Stegostoma tigrinum: one gene and its partners. The protein of the gene in region 3 purifies or fractionates together with the protein of the main gene of each other region. This does not show direct contact. Links are inferred from orthologs where the notes say so. Each region holds a gene or a part of one and is shown on either strand. Other genes may lie near its edges.

Region 1 (10,947 bases), on a different chromosome or scaffold from region 3:
TTATCAGATCAGCCATGATCTCATTGAATGGTGGAGCAGACTCAGTGAACTGTATATCCTACTTCAGCTCCTATTTCATATGGCTTGACGTGGCTGAACAGCACTAACATAAACTCTCTGTTTGAAGAAGGATCACCAGAGCGAAAATGTTAACTCTGTTTTTTCCTTCATAGTTGCTGCCAGACCTGCTGAGCTTTGCCAGCAACCTTATTTTTGTAACCTCTGCTCTTGAACTCAATACCTCAGTTAATAAAGGCATGTATTCCATATTCCTTATTACATTTGTACAAAATGGCTGGTCATTTTCATAGAATCCCTACAGTGTAGGGGCAGACTCTTTGGCCCAATGAGTCATACTGACCCTCTGATGAGCAATTCACCCCTCGCTACCCTAACCCTATATTTCCCATAGCCAATCCAAGTAGCTGCACATCCCTGAACACTATGGGAGATTTAGCATGGCCAATTCACTGTAACCTGCACATCTTTGGACTGTGGGAAGAAACCAGAGCACCCCAAAAGGGACCCTCGTAGACACAGGGAGAATATGCAAACTCCATACAGTTGCGCAAGGGTGGAATTGAACCTGGGTCCCTGGCCTTGAGAAGCAGCACTGCTGAGCACTGAGCCACCATGCCACCCCATGTGTTTTATATCTTGTTGTGCTAACATATCTTATATACTAGAGGAAACATACAGTTCTATCTAGGTATTATTTCTACATAAATGTATTTTGACTGTAAAGCAAGATGAAATCATTGACAACACACTGCCTTAGATAGGCTGCAGTGTTTCCTTTAGAGCAGAGAAGGCTGAGGGAGCAATTTGATTGAAGTGTACAAAATTATGTGGGACATAAATAGGAAGAAACATTTCCCCTTAGTAGAGGGATTAATAACCAGGGGACTGAGAAGTTTAGAGGGGACTTAAGGATGATATTTTCACCTAGAAGGTCGTGGGAGTCTGAAACTCACTGCCTGAAAGGGTGGTAGAGGGTGGAACTAACATTACATTTAGGAAGGGTTTAAATGGTCACTTGAAGCATCATAGAACACTTGGCTATGGACCAAGTGCTGGAAAGTAGGACTAGAATAGATAGGTAATTGATAACTAACACAGACATGATGGACCAAAGGGGTCTCAAACGCTATGACTGATTATTGGAGTGTAAATGCTAAAACTAATTAAATCATTGGTTAGGCTGCAGTGTCTGTTTTTAGTAGCTTATTTGGGAAACATGTGAAGGATCTCTAAGGTTTTGGAGTAGATTTGTAGCTTGGGTTGTGGGGGTGAGGTTGGTTGTCTTGCCGAGCTGGTTTGTTGTTCTGTAGACGTTTCGTTACCGTGCTGGGTAACATCCTCAGTGCAGCCTCTGATGAAGCATCGGTGTGTTTTCCTGCCTGGCTTTTAAACTCTGGGGTCCATTGCGATGGATTGCCTCACTTCCAGATGTCCTACGTAGCGGAATGTATATGGGGTCAAATTCAATGTGTTTATTAATAGCCTGCTTCGTGGAGTGCCATGTTTCCAGGAATTCTCGCGCTTGTCTCTGCCTAGCCTGTCCCGGGATCTTGGTCGAAGTCATGGTTCTCCTTGTCCATGTGGATTGAGATGAGTGAGTATCGGTCGTGTCTTTTTGTAGCCAGTTGGTGCTCATGTTCTCTTGTTAGTTTCCTTCCTGTTTGTCCGATGTAGTGTTTCTCGCAGTCTCTGCAGGGGATCTTGTAGATGACATTTGTCCTGTCCATTACCAAGCACAGTAACGAAATGTCTGTGGAACAACAAACCAACCCAGTGAGCCAACCAACCTCAACAGATGGAAAGGATTTGGAGAAGGGATGGAAAGGGTGCACTAAAGTTATCTAGTGGATTACAGTCACAGAGTAATAGAGATGTACAGCATGGAAACAGATCCTTCAGTCAAACTTGTCCATGTCGACCAGATATCCTAAATTAATATAGTCCCATTTGCCAGCATTTCACCCATATCCCTCTATTCATGCACCCAACCAGATGCCTTTTAAATGTTGCAATTGTACCAGCCTCTGCCATTTCCTCTGGCAGCTCACATGCACCACCCTCTGTGTGAAAAAGGGGTCCCTATTAAATAATTCCCCTCTCATCTTAAGCCTATGCCCTCTAATGTTGGAGTGCCCTACCCTCGTCTGCTAACTTACTAACCATTTCTCCTATTTTCACATCCAAATCATTTATATCAGTGACAAAAAAAATATATTTTTGGTGAAAAAGACTGGGAATATCTGATTAAAGAGCATACAGCTTAGGAGTTTGAGGTGGCCACTCAGCCCCTTAACCTGCTCCACGATTCTAACCATCATGGATGATCTGATTCTGGCCTAACTTTGATTACTTTGCACCCTGTTCTCATCAAGAATATTATCAGTTTCTGAAAGAATAGTATTCAAAGACTCTGCTTCCACCAGTTTTTCAAGAATAGAATTCCAAATACTCAGGGCCACTGAGAGAAAAGATTTCTCCTTCTGGGGCTTGACTGCTTATATTTAAACAGTGACCCCTGTAGCTCTAAAAACAATGGAAATTTAGAAGATAGTTGATGTAGGTATTCAAAATTATGAGAGACTTTGGTATGTTTAATTACATGTGCAGTAATTAGAAGACATTCAATTAAGATTATTACCAAAAATAAGGGTTCAGAAGTGATATTGAAAGAGTCTTGTAAGTTGTTGCGATGTCTCCAGGTGATAGTTCAACTCACTGTAATTGCTGCAGCATTGGTAGAAGGAATCAGTGCTGGGAACTTTGGGACTTAGTGACAGGAAAAGGCCATTTGGCCCTTCAAGCCTGCTACACCATTCAATAAGCTCATGGCTGAACTCAATAAAAACCAAAAGAACTGCAGATGCTGTTAATCATGAACAAAAGCAGAAATTGCTGGAAAAGCTCGGCAGGTCTGGCAGCATCTGTGAAGGAAAAAAATCAGAGTTAACGTTTCGGGTCCGGGTCTGATTTTTTTTCTTCACAGATGCTGCCAGACCTGTTGAGCTTTTCCAGCAACTTCTGTTTTTGTTCATGTCTGAACTGGTTTTGGTCTCAGCTGTACTTTCCTATCTGCATCCTTTAACCGTCTTTTGTCTAATAAAAAAAAGTCAAACTTGGCCTCCAAATAAATTTAAATATCCAGCCCCCATGCCCTTCTGGAAAAGAGAGGTCTGAAAAGACCCCTTATTTTCAAAGTAAGGGAGACGGTGGCCGAGTGGTATTTTCACTGGAGTATTAATCCAGAAACTCAGCAAATGTTCTGGGGACCTGGGTTTATATCTTGTCATGGCAGATGGTGGAATTTAAATTCAACGAAAATATTTGGAATTAAGAATCTAATTCTAATTTAGGAATCTTATGATCACCATGAAACCATTGTTGGAAAAACCCATCTGACTCAATGTATTTTAGGTCTGGCCTACATGTAACTCCTGACCCACAGCAATATGGCCGGATCTCACCATCCCCCTGAAATAACCAAGCAAGCCACTCCGTTAATATCAATCACTATGAATTCTCAAAGAAATGAATCCAGATGGATCATCTGGCATTAACCAAGGCCACGAAGAGACTACAGCAAAAACAGTCCTGTTGACCCTGCAAATTCCCCTGGGAGCTAATGACAAAACTGGGATAGCTGTCTCACAGACTAGACAAACAACATCCTGACATAGTCATACTCATAGAATCATACCTTACAGACAATGTCCCAGACATCACCATCACCATCCCTGAATATGTCCTTTCTCACCGGCAGGACAGACACAGCAGAGGTGGCAGCACTGTGGTATACAATTGGGAGGTGGTTGCTCTGGGAATCCTTAACATTGACTCCAGACCTCACAATGTGTCATGGTTTCAAGTTAAACATGGGCAAGGAAACCTCCAGCTCCTTATCACGTACCATCCTCTCCCAACTGATGAATCAATACTCCTCTATGTTGAACAACACCTAAAGGAAGCACTGAGGATGGCAAAAGCACAGAATGTGGGTGGGGATTTCAGGATTTCAAGAGCGGCTTGGCAGCAGCATCACTGAGCAAGTTGGTCGAGTCTTAAAGGACAGTTACTAGACTGGGCCTGTGGCAGGTGGTGAGGGAACCAACAAGAAGGAATAACATACTTGACCTCAACCTTACTGGTATGCCAGCTGCAGATGCATCTGTCCACGACACTGTTGGTAAGAGTGACCATTGCACACTCATCGTGGAGAAAAAGTCCCACCTTCACATTGAGAATACACTCCATTGTGTTGTGTGGCACTGTCACCATGCTAAATGGGACAGACTTTAAAAAGATGTAGCAACTGAAGACCAGGCATCCATAAGGCACTGTGGGCCAACAATAGCAGCAGAATTGGGGTGGCACCATGTTAACACTGCTGCCTCACAGCACCAGGGACCCAGGTTCGATTCTGGCCTTGGATGTCTGTCTGAGTTTGCACATTCTCCCCGTGTCTGCACGGGTTTCCTCCCACAGTCCAAAAGATGTGCAGTTTAGGTGGATTGGCCATGCTAAATTGCCCATAGTGTTCAGTATGTGTGGCTTAGGTGGGTTATAGGGTCTGGGATGGGATGCACTGAAGTTCGGTGTGGACTTGATGGTCCAAAGGGCCTGTTTCCACACTGTAGGGATTCTAATTCTTATCGTACTCCAGCTTAATCTGTAACCTCATGGCCCAGCATATCCCCCACTCAACCATTACCATCAAGCCAGGGAATCCACCCTGGTTCAATGGAGAGTGCAGGAGGGCATGCCAGGAGCAGCACCAGGCATACCTGAAGATAAGGTATCAACCTGGTGAAGCTACAACACAGGACTATTTGTGCACCAAACAGTGAAAGCAGTAAGCGATGGGCAGAGCTGAGCAGTCCTACAATGGACAGGTCAGATCTAAGCTCTGCAGACCTGCCACATCCAGCTGTGAATGATGGTGGACAAATAAATGACTCACTGGAGGAGGAAGCTCCACAAATATGATGGAGAAGCACAACACATCAGTGCAAAAGATAAGGCTGAAGGATTCGCAGCAATCTTCGGCCAGAAGTGCTGAGTGGATGATCCACCTCGGTCTCCTTCAGTGGTCCCCAGCATTACAGATACCAATCTTCAGCCAACGATTCACTCTATGTGATATCAAGAAACAGCCGATGACACTGGATACTGCAAAGGCTATGGACCTGACAACATTCCAGCAATAGTACTGAAGACTTGTGCTCCAGAACTTGCTGCTCCCCTAGCCAAGTTGTTATACAACCACAACAGTGGCATCTACCTAACAATATGGAAAATTGTCCAGTTATGTCTTGTACATAAAAAGCAGGAGAAATTAAACCCAGCCAATTACCATGCCATCTGTCTACTCTTAGTTATCAGTAAAGTGATGGAAGGTGTCATCAACAGTGATATCAAACAGCACCTGCTCAGCAATAACCTGCTCACCGACACCCAGTTTATGTTCTACCAGAGCTACTCAGCTCCTGACCTTATTACAGGCTTGGTTCAAATGTGGACAAAAGAGCTGGGTTCCAGAAATGAGACTGCATTTGACCAAGGCTCAAGAAGCCTCTGCAAAACTGATATCAATGGGATTCAGGGACAAATTATCTGCTGATTGGAGATATACCTGGAACATAGGAAAATGGTGGCAGTTGCTGGAGGTCAGTCATCTCGACTTCTTCGGAGTAGTGTCCTCGGCCCAATCATCTTCAGCTATTTCATCAATGATCTTCCCTCCATCATAAGATCAGACATGGGGATGTTTGCTTATGGATGCACAATGTTCAGCACCGTTCATGACTCCTCAGATATTGAAGCAGTCCACGTTCAAATGCAACAATTTCTACCTTAAACATTGGTCTGGTAAGACTCTGGTGATGTTACCTTGCCTTTACTTTCAATATGTTCAAACATTGAGCTTCCACAGCCTTCTGTGGTAGAGAACTCCAAGGGTTCACAAACCCTGAGTGAACAAAAATTATCCTAATTACAACCCAGGTCCCCAGAACATTGGTGGTTGATTGGGGCATCTCGGGGCGGGATTCGGAGATTGGCAGGGGCAATCCGGGGGCGGGGTTTTGTGATTGACAGGAGCCTCCCGCGGGCGAGATTCGGTGATTGACAGGATCCAGTTGGGGGCGGGGTTTTGTGCATGACTGGATCCTCTCGGGGCGGGATTCGGAGATTGACAGGATCCAGTTGGGGGCGGGGTTTTGTGGTTGACTGGAGCCTCTCGGGGGCGGGATTCGGTGATTGACAGGATCTACTTGGGGGCGGGGTTTTGTGGTTGACTGGAGCCTCTCGGGTGCGGGATTCGGAGATTAACAGGATCCAGTTGGGGGCGGGGTTTTGTGATTGACTGGATCCTGTCGGGGGCGGGATTCGGAAACTGACAGGATCCAGTTGGGGGCGGGGATTTGTGATTGACAGGAGCCTCTCGGGGGCGAGATTCGGAGATTGACAGGATCCATTTGGGGGCGGGGTTTTGTGGATGACTGGATCCTCTCGGGGGCGGGGTTCGGTGATTGACAGGATCTACTTGGGGGCGGGGTTTTGTGGTTGACTGGAGCCTCTCGGGGGCGGGGTTCGGTGATTGACAGGATCTACTTGGGGGCGGGGTTTTGTGGATGACTGGAGCCTCTCGGGGGCGGGATTCGGAGATTGACAGGATCCATTTGGGGCGGGGTTTTGTGATTGACTGGAGCCGCTCGGTTCGGGTGGGTGAGAGTCGGTGGCGGCTGGCGAATTGAATGAGATCGAGGAACGGGGAATTGGGTAAGTGAGAACCGTACTTCGAGTGCAAACTCTCCCTGAGCATGACAGGCTTCTTCCTCGTTTCCCGGTTACACAGTGTCTTCTGGGGGCTGTGCCTGAGGCCTCTGGCCGGCGGCGCTGGATCCTCCGTGTGTGGAGGTGTCGGCCCCGGGACAGAGGGTGGCCTCTCCCGCTTTGTCTAGGCCCCGCTGAGGGCTGATTGATGCAGGCTCAAGCCGGGACTCGGGCCCCGCGGGATTGGTCACAAACTGACTACTCCCTCCTCTCTGGTCACCTACAAACACCATCACCCCCTCCTCCCCAAGACTCTGGTTATCATTATACCCCCAACCTCACCTCCATCCCAAGCCTTCTGATCACTCAACTTTACCCTCCCGCCTGGTCATGAAATCCCCACTCTCTTGTCATCACCCCCCCCATATCCCAATTTACTTGTCATTTCAACAGGTTGCCATGGGCTAGAATGCAGGCTGCCCCTGTTAGGCTGGGTAGGCGTTATAAATTGGGAGGTATTAATTATTTCAGAGATAGTAAGAACTGCAGATGCTGGAGGATCTGAGATAACAAGGTGTAGAGCTGGTTGAACACAGCAGGCCAAGCTCGTAAGATGCTGCTTGGCCTACTGTGGTCATTCAGCTCTACATCTTGTTATCTCAGGTATTAATTATTGTTTTGTTGCAGAGCTACAGGCATGCTTTTCTTTTATGTGGTTTGCTCCCCTCACTCTGTCCCCTGAATGAAACATAACACACAAACTAGGAGCAGGAGTAGGCCATTCAACCCTTTAATCCTGCTGTGTCATTCAACTGATCCTATATTTCAACACTATATTCCTGTTTTCTCTACATTACTCTAAATGCCTTTAATATCAAAACACTAATCAATAATAATCAATATACTCAGTGACTTGCCTCCACTGCCTTTTGTGGTTGAAAATTCTCCAGGTTGACAATCTGAGTGAAGAATGGTTTCATAGAATCACAGCATTTTACAGTACAGAAGGAGGCCCCTCAACCCATCATGTCTGTATTGGCTCCTGAAAGAGCTATCCAGCTAGTCCCATTCTCCAACTCTGCCTCACAGCCCTCTAAATTCATCATTTTGTAATAAATATCCAGCTCTCTTTTGAAATCTCATATGGAATCCACCTCCAACACTATCCCAGGCAACACATTCCAAATTCAACTGTCTAAGAAGTTTCTTCTCATCTTACTCCTTTCTGCTCAATGCCTGTCAATTCCTAAATTCAATGACCAATAAATAGAAAGTGGGACATAACACCACCGCTTCGTCAGAGGCTCACTGATGATGTAACCTAGAATGGTGACGAAACGTCTGAAAACTAACCTTTCAGTTCAGTGAGCAAACTCACATCCAGGGAGTTAAATACGCACAAATTAAGAGTAGATGTAGCAATATTACCCCACATGTGTTTTGTCTGATAAATGGCCTCAACTGCAATGAAACTGGTGAACTACCACACCAACCTAGAAACTGGAATTGACAGTGGCAAACTCAGTCCTTTTCTCCTTATTTCTGGGTTTTAGTGGCCAAACGGGGAGAGCTGTCTCACAGTTTAGTCAAGCAGCAGCCTGACATAGTCATACTCAAGGAATCATACCTTACGTGCAATGTTCTAGACACAGCACCAACCCTAGATATTTCCTGTCCCACTGGCTGGCTATACCCAGCAGACGTGGCCGCATGGTGGCATTCAGTTAGGAGGGAGGTGGCTCTGGGAGTCCTCAACATTGACTTCGAACTCCATGAATCTGTTTCAGGTGAAACATGGGCAAGGAAACATCCTGCTGATAACTACGTGCCATCTTCCCACATCCGATGAATCAGTAATTCTCCATGTTGATTATCTTAATCATGAATGATCTTTCCTGTGACTTGAGACTGTGACCCTGGTTCTGAACTTCCAAACCAGGGAAAACATTCTCCCTGCATTCAGCCTCTGTCGCCTAGTTAGACTTCTATGTGTTTAAATTAGATCTCCTTTCATTCTTCTGAGCCCAAATGTATACAGTCCGAATTGATGCTTTCTTGAACTGTTGCAGTTGGCCATATGGTGAAAGCGCTCCTACAGTTCTATCAGGCCAGAATTTTGACCCAGTGAGTGGTTCCAAGATTGAAGGGTTTATGACTTGGAAGGGTATAAGCATGTGATGAAGAATGTGGAAGCTGTTAGCAGAGGGCACAGTTGAAACAAAGTATGGCTGCAGTTGAGGGGAAGCTAGACAAATAAATGAGGAAGAGGGTTACAATATTAATTGTGGAAAGATGGATGGGGACTCAATAATTTAATATTGGCATGGGCTGGTTGGGGTAATTTGTATATCTATTATATCATATCTAATCCTCTGACCGTTTTCTTGTGTCCCTACTGTCCTTCTACATAGTCCTGGTTGAGAGTTTGAGGTGAATTAATGACAAGTCTGGGTGTTCAAAGCCTGAGTGTTTGTGTGAAAAATAGCAGGTTCAGTACCTGGTCTGTGAGTGAGCTATGAATGAATGGAGGTGGAGATTGAATGTCCAGAATTGACAGCGTTTAAGAGCAACAAGTGAGAAATATCCCACAGTTCTGACAGAGGATGTTATACATAAGCAGATGCTGCTGCAGTTATGATCATCAAATTGCTGTACATTGTTTCCTAATCCTTTCTGCCCCACCCATCTCAGTTAATATGCTAACTCATTTTGGCATACATGTCAATGTGGTGTCAGCAGATGTCAGGTATTTCATCCATTTGGCTGCTGGGAGAGAATGTGGATCAGTTGTGGGATGGGAAGGTGATGGCTGAGTGGTATTGTCACTTGACTGTTAATCCAGAAACCCACACAACGTTCTGGGACCTGGGTTTGAATCCCGCTACGGCACTTGGTGGAATTTGAATTCAGTAAAAATGTCTGGAATTGGGAATCTAATGATGGCCTAGAATCCATTGCCGGAAAAACCCATCTGCTTCACTAATGTCCTTTAGAGAAGGAAACTGCCATTCCTTGCCTCCCTCCTTACCTGGTCTGGCCTACATGTGACTCAGCATGTGGTTGACCCTCTGGGCGATTAGGGATGGGCAATAAATACTGCCTGGCCAGTGACGCCACCATTCTGATAATGAATGAAGAAAAATAGGTGGGCTGCTAAGTAGAAAGGTGAATTGAAAATTATGAGCCCTTTAGGAATACAGGACTTTGGCACATGGGTAGGCTCAAGCTTACTCTGAGTCAGTAAGATAAATGGGGAAGATAATGCCATAAATAGGGGTTGTAATGTTGTCATTGCATCTGTGCTAGCACACATCAGGATGTCAATCTTGGTGTAGTTCAGTAACATGCAGATAGTTCAGCCAGTCAGCTTGTATGAGGACAATCTATTGCTGGAATTATAAACAGTAGACTTCTCATGAGTTGGATATAATGCAGACCATATTCCGCGATTAATGTTTGGAAATTGGGGAGATCATTTCGTCCTTATTTATATACTTTGGTTATAATCTTGTTCTGACCCCTGAAGTAACAGGGTACAGAGGAATCTAAACGTTGGAAAACATTAATGATGGTGAATATTCACGGGACGCTGCACATTATTTTTCAGCTTAATTATGTTAACTAAAGATTGAGTAATGTTTGTGCATAAGCATCAGTGTTAAGTGGTTCCAAAATTGTATCACGCAGAAAAATTGCAGTGTGGTTCACAATCTAACCTTAGCTGAAACATGATACCCCTCCACAGCATCAAGAGTACCCATTGCTTTGGTTTATCCCTCCAGTGTATAATTGCTTTACTCTTCCTTATCTCTCAGAGTACTGCATTCTTGCAACTTGGCCTCTTGTACAGCCTCAGTCACTTTTGTTTCTTCTCTTGGTGCCATGCTTTTCACTGTCTTGGCTTTAACCTCTGAAATTTCCTCCCTAAATGCTGTACCTCCCTCTCTATTAAAATGCTACAAAAAACCTATACCTTTGACCAAGCTTTTAATCAACTATCATAATATTTTTCTGTTTGACTCTGTTCATTCTTCTTGGATTTTGTTCCTGTGAGGCACCTTGAGATGTTGTCTGAGCATTGAATGTGCAAGATAAATGTAAGTTAGATATTGTATTTAAAATACTTACGGGGGTCGCTTCTATTTTCTGTGCACTTTA
Region 2 (10,089 bases), on a different chromosome or scaffold from region 3:
TTACATCTGTGGAAGCTCAAAGCTGAATGGGTATTCATGTTTGCCTGAAGGTATAGTGGTGAGACCTTCTTCAGAATCATCATCATCTGAAAAAAATAAAACACTGGAGTAGCAAACAAATAATTTTGAGTCATGCAGCCAACACATGCCAATTGATAAGAGCTGGTGTCCAATGTATCAACAATTTAATTTGTAACACATCAATGTCTGTTTTTGACAGGTCCAATTTAGGGGAATAGAACACTTATGCAACTTCTGTACAACTTTAATACTCAAGATGTTAACGCAATACAAGTAACTGGCGCAGTACAAGAGGAACATTTGTAGACTTCAACATGCACTTTGTGGAGGCTATCTTGCTCTACTCTTAACAAACTGTACAAATAGCCAAACCTTCCATTTTTAAAAATAAACTTTTAGAATGATATGATTACAACATTTAAAAGGCACCTGAATGGGTACATGAATAGGAAGAGTTTAACAGGGATATGGGCCAAATGGGACTAGATTTATACAGGATAGCTGGTCAGCATGGATGAGTTGGACCGAAGGATCTGTTTCTGCGCTGTATCTCTCAATGACTACGTGGGTGTTGTTTGCAAATCTGCCATTTATTGTTCATTATTCCCAGTTACCAAGGCAGACTTGTTTGAGAGCTGTTGATACAATTGAGCAGCATACTAGAGTGCTCCTGGAATGAAAAAGGCCAATTTTTTTATTGAATGATGAAATAGATAGGCTGCAGCAATTAAAAGTCAATTATATAATATTTGTTAGCAGAAAAGTCATATGTATACCAAGTCTCAATGTAGATCAACATTTTGTTTTAAAGTCTAACACTCCAGTACTTGAAGTTCGAGTTGGAGACTGCAGAACAAAAGGTAATGGTTTTGTTGCTGCCTATAAAAAATTAAAATAACGCAGTTAACAATTTCTTCTGTTGGTTCCTAGCAATAAACACATTACTCCTCCAGGAAATGGCGAAGGTACAGTTAAGGTTGATTGTTACTAGGCGATCACCAGCGTTGTTTGAAGTGGTCCTATCAAAAGCTGCAAAGACCGAGCTGCTCCACCCTTGCACAGCTACAGTTGAGCCTTTGGGGCTTTTATTTTAAGGATAAACAATCTGACCTTCTTTATTCTCCGCAATGACGTGACTGTCCAACTACCTCGAGCCCATTTCTATGCCAAGTCATGGATTTCCTGACAAACGACAGCAACCTGATGCTGGGGTCTCTTCACCGACAGCATCATTTAAAACACTGCACCTGTCTACTGAAATTGGAACACCCTCCCCATAAAATTAGGGAAATTAAAATCTAATGTTTTAATAGGGATTAGTGCCTTTTTTCTAAAATAAACTGTTAAATCACTAGAAACGTTCGAAATCCTTACACGGTGCAATTTGAAGATCAATTTCTATCCATAGCATTGTCATGGTTAAAAATAAATTTAAGAATAATGTTGAATCTAAAAAAATTGCAACATAATACAACATTATTTGTAACGATTTCTTGTGCAACTTTATTTTCCTCCATGAGGTTCTGCCTATTTCTCCCTCTCCCCTTTTTCTGCCAGCTCAGCACGCTCAGCTTTGCAGTGAAGCGGTAAACAAGTAGTGAGCTGTCAATCAGCAGCAGGCAGACAGCGGAGAGAGCCGGCCTGAACCGGAGCGAACAGCCCAGCTCAGCCGCAACCACATGGTATTCATCAGCAGCAGCAGAGCCCAGCCCAGCCTAGTCTGCTCATAGAGGGAGGGAGAGAGGGGGGAAACAAGAGCAATGGAAGGGAGGGGCTGGACACACACCAGGCGATCCATAAATGCAACCCATTCTCAACGCACACACGTAGAAAAAGGATTTTTTAGAATTTTTTTAAAAAAAGAAAATTGTTGTGTTGTCATTTGGACTTAAATTGTTGCTTCGGCCTCTTATTTTAAGGGCTTGAGAATCGCACATACGATTGACTACAATGTTCATCAAAAGGGGAGATTTAACGTTGCCACTGTTCTCAGAAATAAAATGACATCGATTATACACGTTCTAAATAATGATGCATTCCTGCCACGTCCCTGCTTTACTAAATCCACCCTTTTTATAAGACCATGAACTCTTAAAAGATTTTTTTTGCAAGAGTCGATCACTGAAGCAGAACAAACGATAGGTGATAGACAGCTCCACTGGCCAATCTAAAGTTAACGGCGCCTTAGCAACAGTCTAACAAACAGAGGAACCAATCGGCACGTCGGGGAGGAGCAATTGCAACAAAGCCAAGCTAAACGACAGAAAACTTGGTAAGACACAGCACGCCAAACTTCATTGTATTACAATTTCTACCATTTTGCAATGAATAAATGGCGACTGCACATCATTTACACGATGTACTGTGCAGATTGTAGAATCTCAAAAATATCTGTTTGAAGAAACTAGAAATAAAGTGAACATCTCTGCCTTTTCACTCAGCAAGGTTAAGACAAATAAGCACAACTGTATTCTTAATCCGCTGATCGATCCTCCTCCGGAATATTTAAGGTTGATGTAAATATGTACTGAAAAAAAACATGCCAGGGGCTCATTCTTTTCCGTATCCATGAAAGTAGATTGAAATAACGCAATTTCATAGAAGATTTGCAAATTGAATTGATACGGTATTACACCTATACCCACACACCGGTGTGGAAAAAGGTCATTTCAAGGAAAAAAATATATTTTTATTGGTAATATACATATATTACGAAGGTGCAAAGCAGCTGTTGCAAATTGTTTTTCTGCAAAATAGCATTAAGTCATCCTCACCATCTGACGGTGTAAACCAATGAGCGAAGAGAAGACTCACATTCCCCCTCCCTCCCCCCTAATGCTTGTCCCAAACAGGATTGAACCGCTTTGAACAAAGGGTGGAAACTTAGGAAAACAACTAACCTTTTTTGAATGTTACTGAATATACAGTAAATTTGCAATTGTTAAATATATAAGTTTACAAATATAATATTGAGACAAGCGATGTCACTGCAGAAATCTATATATAATCAATTTAATGTCAATGACACCTCTAAGTGATGGGTCGAATAATGTTGCTGTAAGCCACATAGCACATCAAATTTAGATTAAATGGCCCCATTGTATCGATTTAGAAATTATTTGAATAAGTTTTTCCTTTTAAAAATAACGAGTTTTCGAACATTTTTGGACTGTAAATTCAAAGACTTGGTCTGGAAGTCACTGCACACACATTACTGCAATTATTGAAAGGGCAGTCAGGCATTTATTTTCTATTGTAATTTAGACATTTGGTTTCAAATCTGAATTGCAAAGAAAAAAACGCTTGGATGGATGAAACTGTCACTAGAAATTCAACAGTGCAATCGTTTGGATTTCTTTTGCATATTACAAAATGACGGTCCTGAACAGGAAGAAAGGAGTTAAACCCTATAAATCGGTGCAGTAGAATTACTGCAATTTCGAAAATCGGCAAAATATTGTCACGAAATTTGTTTGAAACCATTGCTAACCACCCTATGTAAAATCTCACCACTCATTGGCAAACAAATTGGCAGTGAAAGGTGAGTGACAGGATACCGAACTTTTACATCTATGAAGTTATGTCAAATGAAATTTTAACTCCTTTATCTTAATACTTATAATAACTAATAACGTTTTATAACATTAAAATTGCACTTCTAAATTGGTCGTACAATCTGATCTCCATTGCTCACATTTTACAGTAGGGTTACAGTAAGCTGCACAAAGACTTTAAACAAAACAAACTCTCAGATCAGAAAGATTATTTGTTCCAGTTCCAAGCTTACCTCTATCATGCCCGATTAAAAGGTCTTTGTGGCTGAAATACTCTACTTCTTCAGTGTAGTTCTGAGTATAGGCAGTATTAGAACCAGCGTTTCTCGATTCTGTCCAGCGTACTTTCGCCTGTCCCCTCGCATGGATTGCAAGAGATCTCGCCCTGATTTCACCAGTAACTTCTATAATTACCCGTCCAGAGACAGAATCTCCGCTGGCATAGACGGGTATATTGTTATCATTAGGACAGTCATAGCTTATTGTAAAACTCTTCACCTTTCCCAGCACCATGGTTATTTATAATCTATGTAGATATACGTGACTATAAAAAAAGTACAAAAAAAATCTGAAAAGTGGGATCTTCACCACTGATCAGTGCCTTTTGCTGCAAAAACAGCAGGCACGACCACTGCAATATTAAAAAGGAGCATCTGGATTTGGACAGTTAGAGATGCTGTTGCCCAGCTTTTGGTCTGTACAAAAGACGGGGATATCATACCTACCACCTCACTTAAAACGGTTTTTGTGAAAAACAACTCCAGTGCGCCTGTGCATGATTCACCCTGCTTCCGCCTTGAGTCTAGAGCCAGTGCCAGCTGATCAACAGCTGATTGAGGTCATTCCCCCTTAAAGTAGACTAGTAGCACAGAGACAAACATATAAAATACATGTTTTTTATTTGCACCATTAAAAATATACATATATATAATATCAGAATTCGCAGTCTATCGTGCCGCAGGCATTTTTTGTACTAACGCGATTACAAAAGGTCATTAATTCCATCAATTCAATGCACAAGGCGAGCATTCGAATTAGCGCCACTCCCCGGTTTGTTGCAGTAACACATGGGTCACGTCGCATGCATCTGCCGCACTCATGTTGCATTATTCGTCCGTGCGGTAGCAATAGATTTTGAAGGCTTTATTCTGCACATTAAAATAGACATAACCGTCGCTGAAGCACAATACAAAATAATAATAGCGGTTGTTGCAATTGTTGCACCCAAGTAATATTCGGTGTATAATCCTCCTCTCGTCAGTCTTCTACACCTTGTCGACACCGTGTGGCTATTTCATGTAATAGCCAATTCCAAATTTACAACTACTTAGGGGTACTTTTTAGAGATAACAAGATGTAGAGCTGGATGAAGACAGCCTGTTACTTTTTACTTGTAACTTAATTTCCTTTATCCCCGACTTAACATCCGTTCGATTTATCACAGCATTCTAACGTTTCTCCGTCTTCTGTTTTACCTCGCACATATGTCATTTCTTTTCCACATCTATTTTGAACTTTTATACATTCACGTCTTTCACTCGCTTTCAACATTTCAGCTACTGCCCCGAAATAAGCAATCCACGCAATATTGATGTCTCTTTAAAAATATTTTCACAATGTAAATCTTTCTTGAGGCTCCATGATTTATCGGCGAAATGTAAAGATTGCGTTTTGACGACTTTTTAAACATGACGTAGAAGTAGGAATAAGGACCTTCAAACTGAAGCCTGTAACGGCATTCAATCTGACTCCTGCACTGCCACAATGATGCCACCCGAAGGTTGCAGGAACAGCAACTCATATTCTGCCTGGGAACCCTGCAGCCATATGGTATCAATGTGGACTTCACCAGTTTCAAAATCTCCCCTTCCCCTACTGCATCCCCAAACCAGCCCAGTTCGTCCCCTCCCCCCACTGCACCACACAACCAGCCCAGCTCTTCCCCCCGACCCACTGCATCCCAAAACCAGTCCAACCTGTCTCTGCCTCCCTAACCGGTTCTTCCTCTCAGCCATCCCTTCCTCCCACTCCAAGCCGCACCTCCTTGACCTGTCCGTCTTCCCTGGACTGACCTATCCCCTCCCTACCTCCCCACCTATACTCTCTCCACCTATCTTCTTTACTCTCCATCTTCGGTCCGCCTCCCCCTCTCTCCCTATTTATTCCAGTTCCCTCTCCCCATCCCCCTCTCTGCTGAAAGGTGTAGGCCCGAAACGTCAGCTTTTGTGCTCCTGAGATGCTGCTTGGCCTGCCGTGTTCATCCAGCCTCACATTTTATTATCTTCAACCTGATGACGGCTGGTTTGTATCGTTATTCTAGCTACTCGATGTGGTTCCATAAATCCTCAGTTACTCTGCCCAACGAAAATCCACAAGTGTCAATTGTGGAATTGTCAGTTGTGCAACATTAACGGCTATTAGGGTAACAAGGTGTGAAGCTGGATGAACACAGCAGGCCAAGCAGTATCTCAGGATGGCAAAAGCTGACGTTTCGGGCCTAGACCCTTCATTATTCCCTTTTCTTCACTAAGGGAAAATAGTTTAACTAACTCCAACTTCTCTATCAAATCTGTTATTCACCTTAATCACCTCAATTAGGCACTTGACAAACCTGGGGTAACAAGTGTGACAACATCTCAGAACAGATTGCGTGGAAAATATCTACATTTGGTGTTTTTTTAATGGACTTGGACATCACTAGCCCAGCCAGCATTTTTTGCCTATCCCCACAATTTGAGAAAATGGCAGAGTCACCTTTTTGAACTGCAACAATCCATGTGATTAGGGACATCACAATGGCTGTTAGGAAGGGAGTTCCAGGATTTTGACCCAGCAAGAGTGAAGGAATGACAATGTATTTCCAAGTCAGGATGGCATGTGCTTGAGGGGAACTTGCAGATGACGGTGCATCCAAGCAGATTCCTGCTGTTGTCCAGGGTGTACAGTTTGCAGGTTTTGATCATGCTTTCAAAGGAACCTTGGTGAATTAATGCAGTGCATCTCTGAGGTGGTACACAGTGCTGCTGCTGCATTGTTGGTGGAGGGAATGAATGTTGATGGTGGTAGAAGTGTACCATTCAAACAAGTTGCTTTTGGTGTTGAGTTTCACAATTGTTGTTGGAGCTTTATGCAAAGAAGTGGAGTGTATTCTATCACACTCCTGACATGTGCCTTGCAGGTGGTAGACAGGTGTTGTAGAGACAGGAAGTGACTAATCTTCTATACAATTCCTTGACTCTAACCTGGTCTTGTATTTATATGGCTTGTTCAGTTTCTAGTCAATGATAACCCATCGGATGTTCAGAAGTGATGCAGTTAGCAATGGTAATGCCATTGAATGCGAAGGGGAGACAATTAGATTCTTTCTTGTTGGAGAAGGACATTGCCTTGTAGCTGTGGGGAGTGTTTCTTCCACTTCTCAGCCCAAGCAGGACTATTCAAGCCTTGCTGCACATAGACAGATTGCATCAATATTTGTGGGGTCATGAATGGTTTTGAACACTGTGTACTCATCAATAACCATTCCCAGTTCTGATTTTATGGTAGGAAGAAGCTCATTAAAAGTGTAGCCGAAGGTATTTGGTCTAGGGCATCCTCCTGGGAATTCCTTGCACTGGATGTAAGTTTGCTCGCTGAGCTGGAAGGTTTGTTTTCAGACGTTTTGTCGCTTTTTTTTAATTTGAAAAAATACACTTTATTCATAGAATGTACAAAAAGTAAAACATTTATACACCTACCCAGTCATGCAAGCCGCTCCAGGTTACCCAGGGGGTACGTACACCAACTAAAGGAAAAAACAAAACAAAGAAAAAAAACAAAGCAAAGAAAATACCCCGGCAGTCGTCTCCCCGCACAGCCCCCGTTGGCCCCCTGACCAGTTGGGGAAGGCACCAGCTGGGCCCAGTTATCAGATAGGGCCCTTGTTTCTATTCTGGACGAGGGGTTTCATACGGTGGTCTTTCCCCACAGTGCCTTGGCAGCGGCTGCCCCAAGCTTGAGCGCGTCCCTCAGCACATAGTCCTGGACCTTGGAGTGTGCCAGTCTGCAATACTCGGTTGGGGTCAGTTCTTTCACCTGGCAGACCAGCAAGTTGCGGGCAGACCAAAGAGCATCTTTCCCTGCATTGATGGTCCTCCAGGCGCAGTTGATGTTGGCCTCGGTGTGCGTCCCGGGAAACAGCCCGTAGAGCACGGAGTCCTGTGTCACGGAGCTGCTCGGGACGAACCTCAACAAATACCACTGCATCCCCCTCCAGACCTCCTGCGCATAGGCACACTCCAGAAGGAGGTGATAGACAGTCTCGTCCCCCCCGGCAGCCGCCTCAAGGGCAGCGTGCGGTGGCGCAGAGATTCCGGGCATGCATAAAGGATCTCACTGGCAGAGCCCCTCTCACCGCCAGCCAAGCAATGTCCTTGTGCTTGTTTGAAAGTTTTGGCGATGAGGCATTCTGCCAAACGACTTTGGCAGTCTGCGTGGGGAACCACACGACAGGATCCAACCTCTCCTTTTCCCGAAGGGTCTCGAGAATTCTACGTGCTAACCACTGCCTGATGGCCTTTGTGTTTTGCGTCAGTCTTCACAGTGGAAGATGTGAGTAGTATGCCAACAATTAGGGAGAGCCAGGGGGCAGAGTTGAGTACGGTAGGCATTACAATAGAGAAAGTGCGAGAAAAGCTAAAGGGTCCAAAAAATTGATTAACCTCCTGGCCCCGATGGGCTACATCCTAGAGTTCTGAGGGAGGTGGCTGAGGAAATAGCGGAGGCTTTGGTCGTGATCTTTCAAAAGTCACTGGAGTCAGGGAAAGTCCCAGATGATTGGAAAATTGCTGTTGTAACTCCCTTGTTTAAGAAAGGATCAAGGCAAAAGATGGAAAATTAGAGGCTGATTAGCCTAACCTCGGCAGTTGGTAAAATTCTAGAATCCATTGTCAAGCATGAGATTTCTAAATTCCTGGAAGTGCAGGGTCAGATTGAAACAAGTCAGCATGGTTTTAGTAAGGGGAGGTCGTGCCTGAAAAACCTGTTAGAATTCTTTGAAGATGTAACAAGTATGTTAGACCAGGGAAACCCAGTAGATGTTATCTATCCAGACTTCCAAAAGGCCTTTCATATAGTGCCTCACGGGAGGCTGCTGAGCAAGGTGAGGGCCCATGGTGTTCGAGGTGAGCTACTGGCTTGGATTGAGGATTGGCTGACAGAAGGCAGAGAGTTGGGATAAAAGGCTCTTTCTCGGAATGGCAACCGGTGACGAGTGGTGTCCTGCAGGATTCAGTGTTGGGGCCACAGCTGTTCACCTTATATATTAACGATCTGGATGAAGGGACTGGGGGCATTCTGGCGAAGTTTGCCAATGATACGAAGATAGGTGGACAGGCAGGTAGTACTGAGGAGGTGGGGAAGCTGCAGAAAGATTTAGACAGTTTAGGAGAGTGGTCCAGGAAATGGCTGATGAAATTCAATGTGAGTAACTGTGAGGTTTTGCACTTTGGAAAAAAGAATACAGGTATGGACTATTTTCTAAACAGTGAGAAAATTTGTAAATCAGAAGTGCAAAGGGATCTGGGAGTGTTGGTCCAGGATTCTCGAAAGGTTAACTTGCATGTAGAGTCCGTAATTAAGAAAGCGAATGTAATATTGTCATTTATCTCAAGAGGGTTGGAATATAAAAGCAGAGATGTGCTTCTGATGCTTTATAAGGCTCTAGTTAGGCCCCATTTAGAATACTGTGTCCAATTTTGGGCCCTACACCTCAGGAAGGACATACTAGCCCTGGAGCGTGTCCAGCGGAGATTCACATGGATGATCCCTGGAATGGTTGGTTTAGCGTATTATGAACGGCTGAGGATCCTGGGATTGTACTCATTAGAGTTTAGAAGGTTGAGGGGAGATCTCATAGAAACTTACAAGATAATGTATGGTTTAGAAGGGGTGGACGCTAGGAAGTTGTTTCCGTCAGGCGGGGAGACTAGGACCCGTGGGCACAGCCTTAAAATTAGAGGGGCTAAATTTAAAACTGAAATGAGACGACATTTCTTCAGCCAGAGAGTGTTGGGCTTGTGGAATTCATTGCCGCAGAGTGCAGTGGAGGCCGGGACATTGGATGCCTTCAAGGCAGAGATTGACAAATTCTTGATCTCAAAAGGAATCAAGGGCTATGGGGACAGTGCAGGGAAGTGCTGTTGAAATGCCCATCAGCCATGATTTAAATGGCGGAGTGGACTTGGTGGGCCGAATGGCCTCACTTCCACTCCTATGTCTTATGTTCTTATGGCCTTGTGGTCAAAGGTGTTACCTTTCAAAAATTTCTCCACGAAGGACAGGTGGTATGGGAATGTCCAACTACTTGGAGCGTTCCGTGGCAACGAGGCCAGGCCCATCCTTCGCAACACCGGGGACAGGTAGAACCTCAGTAAGTAGTGACACTTGGTGTTTGCGTACTGAGGATCTACGCACAGCTTGATGCAGCCGCACACAAAGGTAGCCGTCAGGGCGAGGGTGGCGTTTGGTACGCCCT
Region 3 (10,065 bases):
GACATTCACCCAGGCTGACCTTTACCCATTCCTTTGTCTGCCCAATTTTTTTTTTCTCTCTGTGGGCTCCATCTCCACCTATTGTTTATACCTCTCTCAGCCTCATCTTCAGCATATATACCAACCTTTACCAAGCTAAAATCAGTTCGGAAGAAGGATCACTGGACCCAAAAAATTAACTCTGCCTTCTCTCCACAAATGTTTCCAGACCTGCAGAGTTGTTTTTCCAGCAATTTCTGTTTCTGCTTCTGACTTCCAGCATTCACAGTACTTTGTTTTACTTTTTGTTGAGGCAATGAAAAATATACTAATGGGAAAAATTAGGGAGAACCCAAGATGTTGTACATGCATTGCTTGTGATATCCATAAATGATGGAGACAAGAATGTAGGGGAGTGGGGTAAGTACATTGCCAATGATACAAAGTTTGGCCAAGTGGTTGACAGTGAGGAGAAAGGCATTAGGTTACAGGAGGTAAGTAGATTGATTAGATGGGCAGATTAGTGGCAGATGGAATTTAACCCTGATAAATGTGAGATTATGCACTTTTGAAGAAGGAATAGCACAAGAGAATGTGCACTGACAGACATGAGGAAGCTTAGAGGAATCTTGGCACGCTTGCACACAGGTCCCTAAAGGTGGCAAGAAAGGTTAATGGGGTCGTTAAGAAAGCATACAGGACACTTGACTTTATCAATGACAGCGTAGGTTATAAGAGCAGGAAGGTTATGTTACAGCTGTTTTGGTACAGAATTTTGGTTCGGCCACAGCTGGAGTACTGTGTGTAGTTCTGGTCACCACGTTATAGGAAGGATGTGATTGCACTGGAGGGGGTGTGAAGGAGATTTAGCTGGATGAAGCCTGAGACACAGCAGATGAACTATGAAGAGTATTAGGATAAGCTTGGTTATTTTTGGAGCAGAGAAGTGAGGAGGGACATAATTGAAGTGTTTGAGTCTGTGAGGGGCGTAAGCAGTGTGGATGGAAAGTTGCTATTCCCCTCACTTGAAAGGTCAACAAAGGGACATAATTTTAAAGGGACAGGCAGGAGGTTTACGATGATTTAAGTAAAAACTTTTTCACCGAGACCATGGTGGTAGTCTGGAATGCATTACATGGGGTGTTAATTAAGTCTGGAAACCTCACAACCTTTTAAAAACTACACTTGAGGTGTGATCACATTCAAGACTAAGGGGCCTAGTGTGGTAAAATGGGACTCGTGTAGGTAGTAGAGCATTTCTGGCAGCACGGACATGAAAGCTCAAAGTGTTTCTTCTGTACTGTATCATTCTATGATTTTTATGATTCTAGGAGGCCCCTTAAGCCTGCTCTGCCAATCAGTAAGATCATGACTGCTCTGATTATTCCACCTTTCCACCTATCTCTGATAATCCTTCATATCTTGATTTAACAAGAATCTATCTACCTCTGCCTTACAAGAAGGTCCAACCACTCCTTCCAGCTTTTGAGGAAGAGAATTCAAAAGGCTCACAATCTCCTGGAGAAAAAAATTCTCCTACTCTCTGTCGTAAATGTGGACCCCCTTTATTTTTAAACAGTGACCTCTGGCACCAGCTGAGATTATACATAGGACTCTCCTTCTCAATCTCTTCCCCTCGCCTGGGCATGATAGCCCTGAGGCTAGTCCACCACTGGTTGTCTCTCTAATAAAAGAGGAGTCCAAAGGTCTGTCAAAACTTTCCTTTATTGGTCGTTGCATTGAGTAAAAACATTGCAGCTGTACAGGATATTGGTAAGGCTACTTTTGGACTTCTGCATTTAGTTCTGGTCTCCCTGCTATGAGAAAGATGTCGTTAAACTTGAAAGAGTTCAGAAAAGATTTACAAGGACGTTGCTGGGGTTGGAGGGCTTGAGGTATAGGGAGAGGCTGAATAGGTTGGGGCTAATTTTTGTGGAGTGTCAGAGGCTGAGGCACAACCTTATAGAGCCAAGATCTTTTTCCCAGAGTAAGGAAGTCCAAAACCAGAGGGAATAATTTTATAAACATATAAAGAGTGGAAAGATATAAAAGGGAACTATGGGGCAATTTTTCATTCAGAGGGTGGTGTGGTGTGTGTGTGAAATGCACTGCCAGAGGAAGTGATGGAAGGTGGTACAAATACAACATTTAAAAGGCAGCTGGATGGGTACATGAATAGGAGTGGTTTGGAGGGATATCGGCCAAGCTCTGGCAAATGGAACTAGATTAATAGATAACAAAGTGTGAAGCTGGATGAACACAGCAGGCCAAGCAGCATCTCGGAGACGCTGCTTGGCCTGCTGTGTTAATCCAGCTTCACACTTTGTTATCTTGGATTCTCCAGCATCTGCAGTTCCCATTATCTCTGGAACTAGATTAATGTAGGGTATCTGGTCAGCCTGGATGAGCTGGACCAAAGGGTGTGTTTCCATACCATATAACTTTATAACTAATTACGGAGACTTTATCTTTTGAGTTGCGGAACATCCCAGAAGAGGAAGCATCCTTTACACACAGACCCTGTCACGATCCCTCAGGATTTTACGTTTCAACCTACTTGACTTTTAGCCTTCTCAGCTCCTGGAGTCTGTCCGAACTTTCCTCGTTAAACAACCCACTCATTCCAAGCATTAGTCTAGTAAACTTGTTTTTTCCCCTTGCTTATCTATCTAATGCCCTTGTTTACAGAGCCAAACATCATACTAATTTGAAATACTATCAACTTCAAACACGCTGATTTGCGTGGAAAGCCTGACGCCTTCCTGACATTTTTTCTTAATACAAACTTGTTTCGTTTTATCACGCAAAGCAAAATGAATAGCTAGCGACAGCATTTTAATCTACCTGTTTTCTAAAAGACGTAACATGCGTGACACTTTATTTCGGTGCGAACGTCAGCCTTTTATAATTAGAACGAAGTATAAATAGCCATTAATTGATTTATAAATATCCTGGAACTGTTCTAGCCCTTTTAAAGATCAGACCGGTTTGGCTACAGAAATCTGTACTGGAGATTTCGGAGCAATTCCTCCATTTGATTCATTAATTTGGGGCACTGTGCAGTTCTACAATGTGCTTTAAGGCACATTAACTTTTTGTTTGCTGGCGGAACTCGGATCTCTCCGCATCTTGTGTTACCTCATTAAACACTACTTACGTAGGATTTTTTTGTTTGTTTTTTGAGTTAATTAATTACCATTACCATTCCCTTCTGTTTGTTTTCTCATCAAAAGATGCCCTGCCGCTTTAGGATCAAATTACGTACCAATTTCTCGTGTTAGTATTGGATAACATCATATGAAATCTACACCAAGGCTAATGTAAAAATAATTTTCAATTTCCCATTCACCATCTCCTTCGGCATACAAGCAAATGTGATAACTGAAATCAACCATCTACATTTATGGAGAAACGTAACAGTCCCAATGCTTTCAATTGTAGCAACCCACTGAACAGACTTGGGAAGCGAGAGGCACTTGTAGATTCTCCAGCGTCATTGAGCAGACGTTAGTTGAAAATGACTTGTGTTCATCTGACCTAATGCAACCTTGACGCTTATAAGTGCCCAACTTCTCTTTAATATATTGTACTTTTTCCAGAGATATGTACAGGCTCGCGTCCTACTTTACCACTTGTACCATTTCAGGATTTTGATTTAACCGGGCGACCCTAATATCGATTTCGGTGTCGATCTCTGCGAGAAGCTTTGTTTGCCAACGACGAGCGATATCTCAAACGGAGACATGAAGAGATGGTCACGCTGAGAGTGTCACCTCTTCAGAGCCGGGAACGTCATTAGCTTCTTTTGCCTTGACATCATTTGGATCCTCTACGTTGTTCCCCGAGGGTAGCGGAGGTGCTTGGCGTTGGGGCTATACACATCGGTCACTTAGTCCGAAGCTATCTGAATGGATTGCGTTTTCTCATTCCCATTCCTGACAACAGCCGCAGATATTTGATACCCAAAGTGGGATATTGTGACGGAGGGCTAAAATATAACCGGGTTGGTGCCCATTGATTATAATGTCGAATTGCTCTGGTATCTCCCACAGAATCAATTAAACCTCTGCCACAAAAAGGTTAACATAGTGTCAACGTATTTACTTTTCGAATCCTCTAACTGGATATTAAATGTCTGAGATAATGGGAACTGCAGATGCTGGAGAATCCAAGATGATACAGCGTGAGGCTGGATGAACACAGCAGGCCAAGCAGCATCTCAGGAGCACAAAAGCTGACGTTTCGGGCCTAGACCCTTCATCAGAGGGTCTAGGCCCGAAATGTCTGCATTTGTTATGGAACATTGTGTAAACGATATGTAAACGGTTAATCCAGAACATGCAGTTACATTGCAAATATTACAGGAGACTAGAGGTTAGAACTAGTGAAAAGCAAAGTTAGAACTGACATCGGAAGCGTTTGTTCATTCGGATGGACCAGTGTACGCACCTCGTGGAAAATAGAGAACGATTTGGATTCCATACAGAAGAGATATTTGGGGTCAGTTGAGTGGATGAACTGAGACAAAAATGAAACTGCTACTAAGTAACCAGGCACTACTTCCCTGCTTATCCTTCCATTACTGTTAGGAGATATTTAACGGTCACACGAAAGCACACTTGTCATCCAAACTTCTAACCTCGTTCAACATAATTATGCTGGAACCTTCTGAGATGATTAGATCCTGAACTGACTCAGAGGCGCAAATGTTACATAATAACCCAAGCTGACGACAATATTTTGATTTACTTTAGGATATAATCCATTACTTCAAATTGTAGCTAATTTTGGTTTAAAAATTATATTCACCGAGGTAGTTTCTTGGGAATGTCAGTAGGGTATATTTTTCCAGGGAACATGCTATTAAGTATATTGCCACAGTAAATATTTTAATAAAACATCAGATACCAAGAGAGACAGTTTCAATTGACATCCTTTGAACGTACATATGCAAATAATGCATCAGCCCAGCGAGATCGTACACTTAACCATTGGAGCGATTGTCTCCCTGGAAATCAAAATGTTTTGGAGAATTCAGCATTTAGATAAAATAAGTCGGCAACGTAGAACAATTCGCGCTGTTCTAGAAATCTCGCGAAGTATTACAGTTATGCGTGTCCAACAACAGTTTGCATTTATTTTGTGCAGTTAACATAGTGTAAAATGGTCTAATGCGCTTACCACAACGAACATCGAACTTGTGGAGATGGAAACATATCTGAAAGCTTTCAGGACAGGCACAACAGAGAAAGAAAGCAAAACTTCCGTTTTGTCTGGAGGAGGCGATAACTCTGCCAATGTGCAGAAATAAATGGGAGGCACACCTTTTTGCACTGTGTTTGTGATGGCAAGTCTGCTGGCCCATCACTGTGGGCAGTGAAATAAAGCCTGGTGTATGTCCCTAACCGGAATGTAGAGTTTGGGTCAGGTTTGATTCATGACCGAGCGGTCCCGGTTCAGCGTATAGCCTCAAGTGGCAAAGTGAGTGTTGACTACAGTTAGTGTGTGAAGCTCCGTGTGTGTGCGCGCGTGTGCCTAGCCGGCGTAAGAGAAGTCAGGAAGTCTGCACTGAGCCTACCTCCACTGCTTACCCGTCACATTTCAGAACAGGAATATCGTCTTCAGGAAAAGAAGAAAAAAAAAACAATGCGCGACTTCATTCGAGGGGAGGGTGAAATTGAAGCCGGGAGGTCTCGATTCGAGTAGCAGAATCCCAGTAAACTTCAGATTGGGAGTACGCGCTGTCAGAAGCTTTGGAGGGTGGGGGTGGGGTGGGGGGGGAAGTCAGACTTCAGCGTCTGTGTTCCTTGCGCTGTGATGGTGAGAATCTGGCACGAATGCTGGTTTCTGCAGAGAATTTCTCAAGCCTAGAATTTTTTTAAAAAGTGGCAATTTACTATAAAAGTATGTCTTTTTTGTGATTGACAAATGGCTACTTCTCCCATTTATATGAATAGCCCCGAATCCTGTATCCTTTCTGAATACTGTGAAGTTGAGTTACTGAGCCCCAGTGGTGGTCGGACTGACGGGGAACACGCCACTTGTGTCTAATACTTGGAGGTAAATAGTGCAGCTAACGATGGGTGCAGGCTTCGAGGTTTGAAGCTGCAGGTAGACGGCGATTGGTTGTGAAAGATTATGACGTTCCGCCCCCCTTGGGCGCTATATAGAAGCGAAAAGGAAGGAGCGCTCAAACAGAATCCACAAAGCGGAGTTCTGCAACGAACGGGCGAGAGAGAGAGAGAGAGAGAGAGAGAGAGGGCTAAGTGGCCGGCTGTAGAGTCACCGAGTGATATGAGTGTGAGGAGAAGGGAGAGCTGCTGGCATTATGTGCAGCGCCGCTGAGAATGGGCTCGCAGGAGAGTAGCTCAGAGAGCAGTGTCTATTTCCCACTGAGCCCCTACATGCTGAACAGCAGCGCAGCTCCGGGGAGCGAGAGCGCGGTCACCCGCAAGGAGCTGAGCCCGGCCTGGAAGATCATTGTCAGTATCGTCATGTCGGTCATGGTGCTGGTGATCGTGTTCGGTAATGTGCTGGTGATCACGGCAATTGCCCGCTTCCAGCGGCTGCAGACGGTCACCAACTATTTCATCACGTCGCTGGCCTGTGCAGACTTGGTGATGGGGCTGATCGTTGTCCCGTTCGGTGGGGTCCGCAGTATCACCGGCGTCTGGTACTTTGAAAACTTCTGGTGCGACTTCTGGACCTCGCTGGATGTTCTGTGCGTGACGGCGAGTATTGGCACCCTGTGTGTGATCGCCCTGGACCGCTACCTGGCCATTACCTCGCCTTTCCGCTACCAAACGCTGCTGACCAAGTGCAAAGCGCGGCTGGTGGTGCTCCTAGTGTGGATGGTAGCGGCTCTCACTTCCTTCCTGCCCATCTACATGGGCTGGTGGAGGCTGGATGACCCGGACTCCCAGAAATGTTACACCGACCCCAGGTGTTGCGAGTTCCTCACCAACAAAGAGTTCGCCATCTCCTCTTCCATTGTATCCTTCTACCTGCCCCTGCTCGTCATGGTCTTCCTCTATACCCGGGTCTTTCAGGAAGCCAGGCAGCAGCTGAAGAAGATCAACAAGTACCAGGGTCGCTTCCACAATCTCAACAACAACTTGAACCAGCCTGCCCCTTCTGTGAATGGCAAAGCTGCCAAACAGGGGCAGAAAAGGACGCCCAGGTTTCTCAATCTGAAGGAGCACAAAGCTCTGAAGACGCTGGGGATTATAATGGGCGTCTTCACCCTCTGCTGGCTGCCCTTCTTCGTGGTGAATATCGTCAATGTCATTTTTAAGGACAGCATCTCCAACACCGTGTTCATTTTCCTGAACTGGGTGGGCTATTCCAACTCGGCCTTTAACCCGCTCATATACTGCCGCAGTTCGGATTTCAGGCATGCCTTCAAGACGGTGCTGTGGGGCTGCCGGGGCTCGCTGCCGTCCACCCACCACAGCAGTTATCCCAATGACAACCCCGTGCCGAGCGAGGATCGCCTGACGAACGGTCTGCCCTGCAGCTTCGAAGGAGCGGCGCCCGCAGCTGCGAACTGCAGCCCCCAGCCCGATGGCAATGAACACAGGCTCCTAGATTCGGTCATATAGCGGCGGCTAACCGACACCCACACAACTAGTGGAACTCAGCAACAGGGGGCACACGAACTTGACACTGAGTAAGACGAGATGTTCCAGCTCGATTCCGCTTGTACTTTTCATGCATTCGCCTACCTCATAACTCAGTGAACGCAATGCAAGGACGTTGTGGTGAAAGTGTGTGAACCCCCAGCCCGCCCCGCGGGAGATGTAAGCCAGCTCAGTAAAACAGAAGGACAATTCTTGAATGTTGCTACATGAGCATTAACGGAGTGTTTAAATGTTTACAACTCGCATGACGCCTATTATATAAAGGCCATGTCGACCTTACTGAAAGCATTTTTGCGCCCTCTTTACCCCCTTGGATGCTCACTGGCACACCATTTTAGAAGGGATTGTGATCTATATCACAAAACATCAGGCGATTTATTCGGCTGAAGAAGGGATCTCAAAGAAGGATTGTTGAGTGCAGTTGCTGGAAACATTGGAGTCAAATAGTCAGTACAGTAGCTGTTAGACAGTGAGAAAAGAGATGTGCATTGCGGTCACTAAGTAGCGAGATCGCCCAACTTCCTCCCAACAAAGAGAAATGAGTGGGATGTCTGTATATGAGGAGGAGGAAGGGTCCAGTCTATCCGATTTCTCAAAGTTAGATGTCCAACGGGTTTGCAACTGCGTGCGCGCAGTTCGAGTTAGGAAACACCCCACCCCTTCCCATTCCTCATCCACGCATTTTCATAAAATAGAAAACAAACGTGTGTGCTCATTTGCCGGCGCGTTCACATTTTGTGTCTGTACTTGTACTGTGGTGTGTTCGTTGTGACCTTTAAGTGCGTAACTGTATTTTGCAATGTTGCACTTTTTCGAGTCAAACAGTGCTGAAGCTCAGTCTAGGCCCGAAACGTCAGCTTTTGTGCTCCTGAGATGCTGCTTGGCCTGCTGTGTTCATCCAGCCTCACATTTTATTATCTTGGAATTCTCCAGCATCTGCAGTTCCCATTATCGCTGTAGCTCTTCTGGACGTTTCTCTTTGCAATGAAGGTGAGGCTTGTCGTTTTCCATTCCCCGCCCCCCATACGTTTCGCAGATAGAGACTGCGTGGTTTCACGTGAATAAGTGTCGAACAACAACAAGAAAAACTTTTTTTAATAGTAAATAATTACCTTGTACCAATGTCAGTCAAAAGCTATCCTACTGAAATGTTAACCTGAGCTTTCTGTGGCATTGTCTAGTTCCTGAGTCCGGGTATTGGAATTTTCCTGTACGCCAACGCTTGGAGCGGATCTTTGTGGGATTATGTGCAATAAATGCTCGTGATTTCGGCGCTGAACAGGCATGGGGCAGTTCAATGTTTACTTGATTTCTGGGTCGATATATTTTCGCACAACGTCAAAACAAAACAGTTATTTTGGATTTTCATATGAATTCAGGTAATTAAGAAACGAAACAATTTTGGATATTTATTATTTAGAATCAATATTGGCTGTCTATTCGTGTACAAATAAAACTTTATATCTTCAAATCACTTTCATTGCGTGATTTTAGCTTAATTTAAAACAAAGTATTCGTAGCTAAACTTATCGTCACTACGTTTCTTTGTCATCAAAATCCGCCGACTTCCAATAGCTCGGACTATATATAATCTTAGATTTTGCCCCCATCTTTTGGACGAAAAGTTTGGATAAATTACATAGCAGCTGGTAGTTAGTTATTACTGCGTTAGAAAACAGGCCAGTTTCGTTAACTGGTAGAAACTGTTCAGACTTCACAATAAATGCAACCTTCTCACCAATATGTTTGTTTTTGTAATTATTTATCGCAGGCTTATTTTACGACTTTGGATTTCAGGTCTTTGTGAAAACAGAATGTTCCTGTGCGGGTGGTCCCATTGTTCCTTTTAAAGAAATTAATACTAAATAAAAGAGGGCGGACTGAGTAGCCTGGATCTTGCGGCTGTTCTTGAGATTGCAAATTTACTTACAGATTTCTTACAGTTATTACATTTATAAGTATATGAATAAGAAATGTTTGGAGGGATATGGGCCAAGCTCAGGCAGGTCGGACTAGTTTAATTTAGGATTATGGTTAGCATGGATTGGTTGGACTGAAAAGTCTGTTTCAACGCTGTGTAACACTATGACGCCAGTAGAAGTTAACAAGATACCTTACTTTTTTTTCTCCTTAAAATGTATTTTGCAATGTACTTTTACAAATGCTATTGAACAAAGTGTGTGGATGTGAAAATTAGTGGCATAAAATCTCAAAACAACCTCAGTTTCACATTGAGGTGCCTCAATACAATTGTAAAGCTTTTGATATTTACGCTACACAGTCCATTTCAAACCTATATTGCATTACACTTTGACAAGTTACATATTCCAAAAAATGCAATAGAATTCAACTGTTCTTGATGTAGCATGTTTAAAACATGAACTATTAGTGAATTTTTACAGCAGGTTGATAGGATTTCCTCCTACCCAAAAGATTCTCCCACTTT

Evidence for each region.
Region 1: the proteins of adrb2a (region 3) and usp33 purify together in Homo sapiens (affinity purification with western blotting; 3 studies listed by BioGRID and IntAct, with this or other methods). This does not show direct contact. The link is inferred for Stegostoma tigrinum from reciprocal best matches to the Homo sapiens genes ADRB2 and USP33.
Region 2: the proteins of adrb2a (region 3) and arrestin domain-containing protein 3 purify together in Homo sapiens (affinity purification with western blotting; 6 studies listed by BioGRID and IntAct, with this or other methods). This does not show direct contact. The link is inferred for Stegostoma tigrinum from reciprocal best matches to the Homo sapiens genes ADRB2 and ARRDC3.

The regions. Positions count from the first base shown.
Region 1 is NC_081361.1:92,423,954-92,434,900, reverse strand, and holds the start of usp33 (ubiquitin carboxyl-terminal hydrolase 33), read left to right. Parts: upstream 1-6,689; 5' UTR 6,690-6,795; intron 6,796-10,947. UniProt on the Homo sapiens protein: Deubiquitinating enzyme involved in various processes such as centrosome duplication, cellular migration and beta-2 adrenergic receptor/ADRB2 recycling.
Region 2 is NC_081356.1:92,343,611-92,353,699, reverse strand, and holds the start of arrestin domain-containing protein 3, read right to left. Parts: upstream 4,343-10,089; 5' UTR 4,089-4,342; coding exon 3,809-4,088; intron 87-3,808; coding exon 5-86; intron 1-4. UniProt on the Homo sapiens protein: Adapter protein that plays a role in regulating cell-surface expression of adrenergic receptors and probably also other G protein-coupled receptors.
Region 3 is NC_081366.1:51,361,757-51,371,821, forward strand, and holds adrb2a (adrenoceptor beta 2, surface a), read left to right. Parts: upstream 1-6,055; 5' UTR 6,056-6,326; coding exon 6,327-7,580; 3' UTR 7,581-8,898; downstream 8,899-10,065. UniProt on the Homo sapiens protein: Beta-adrenergic receptors mediate the catecholamine-induced activation of adenylate cyclase through the action of G proteins. The beta-2-adrenergic receptor binds epinephrine with an approximately 30-fold greater affinity than it does norepinephrine.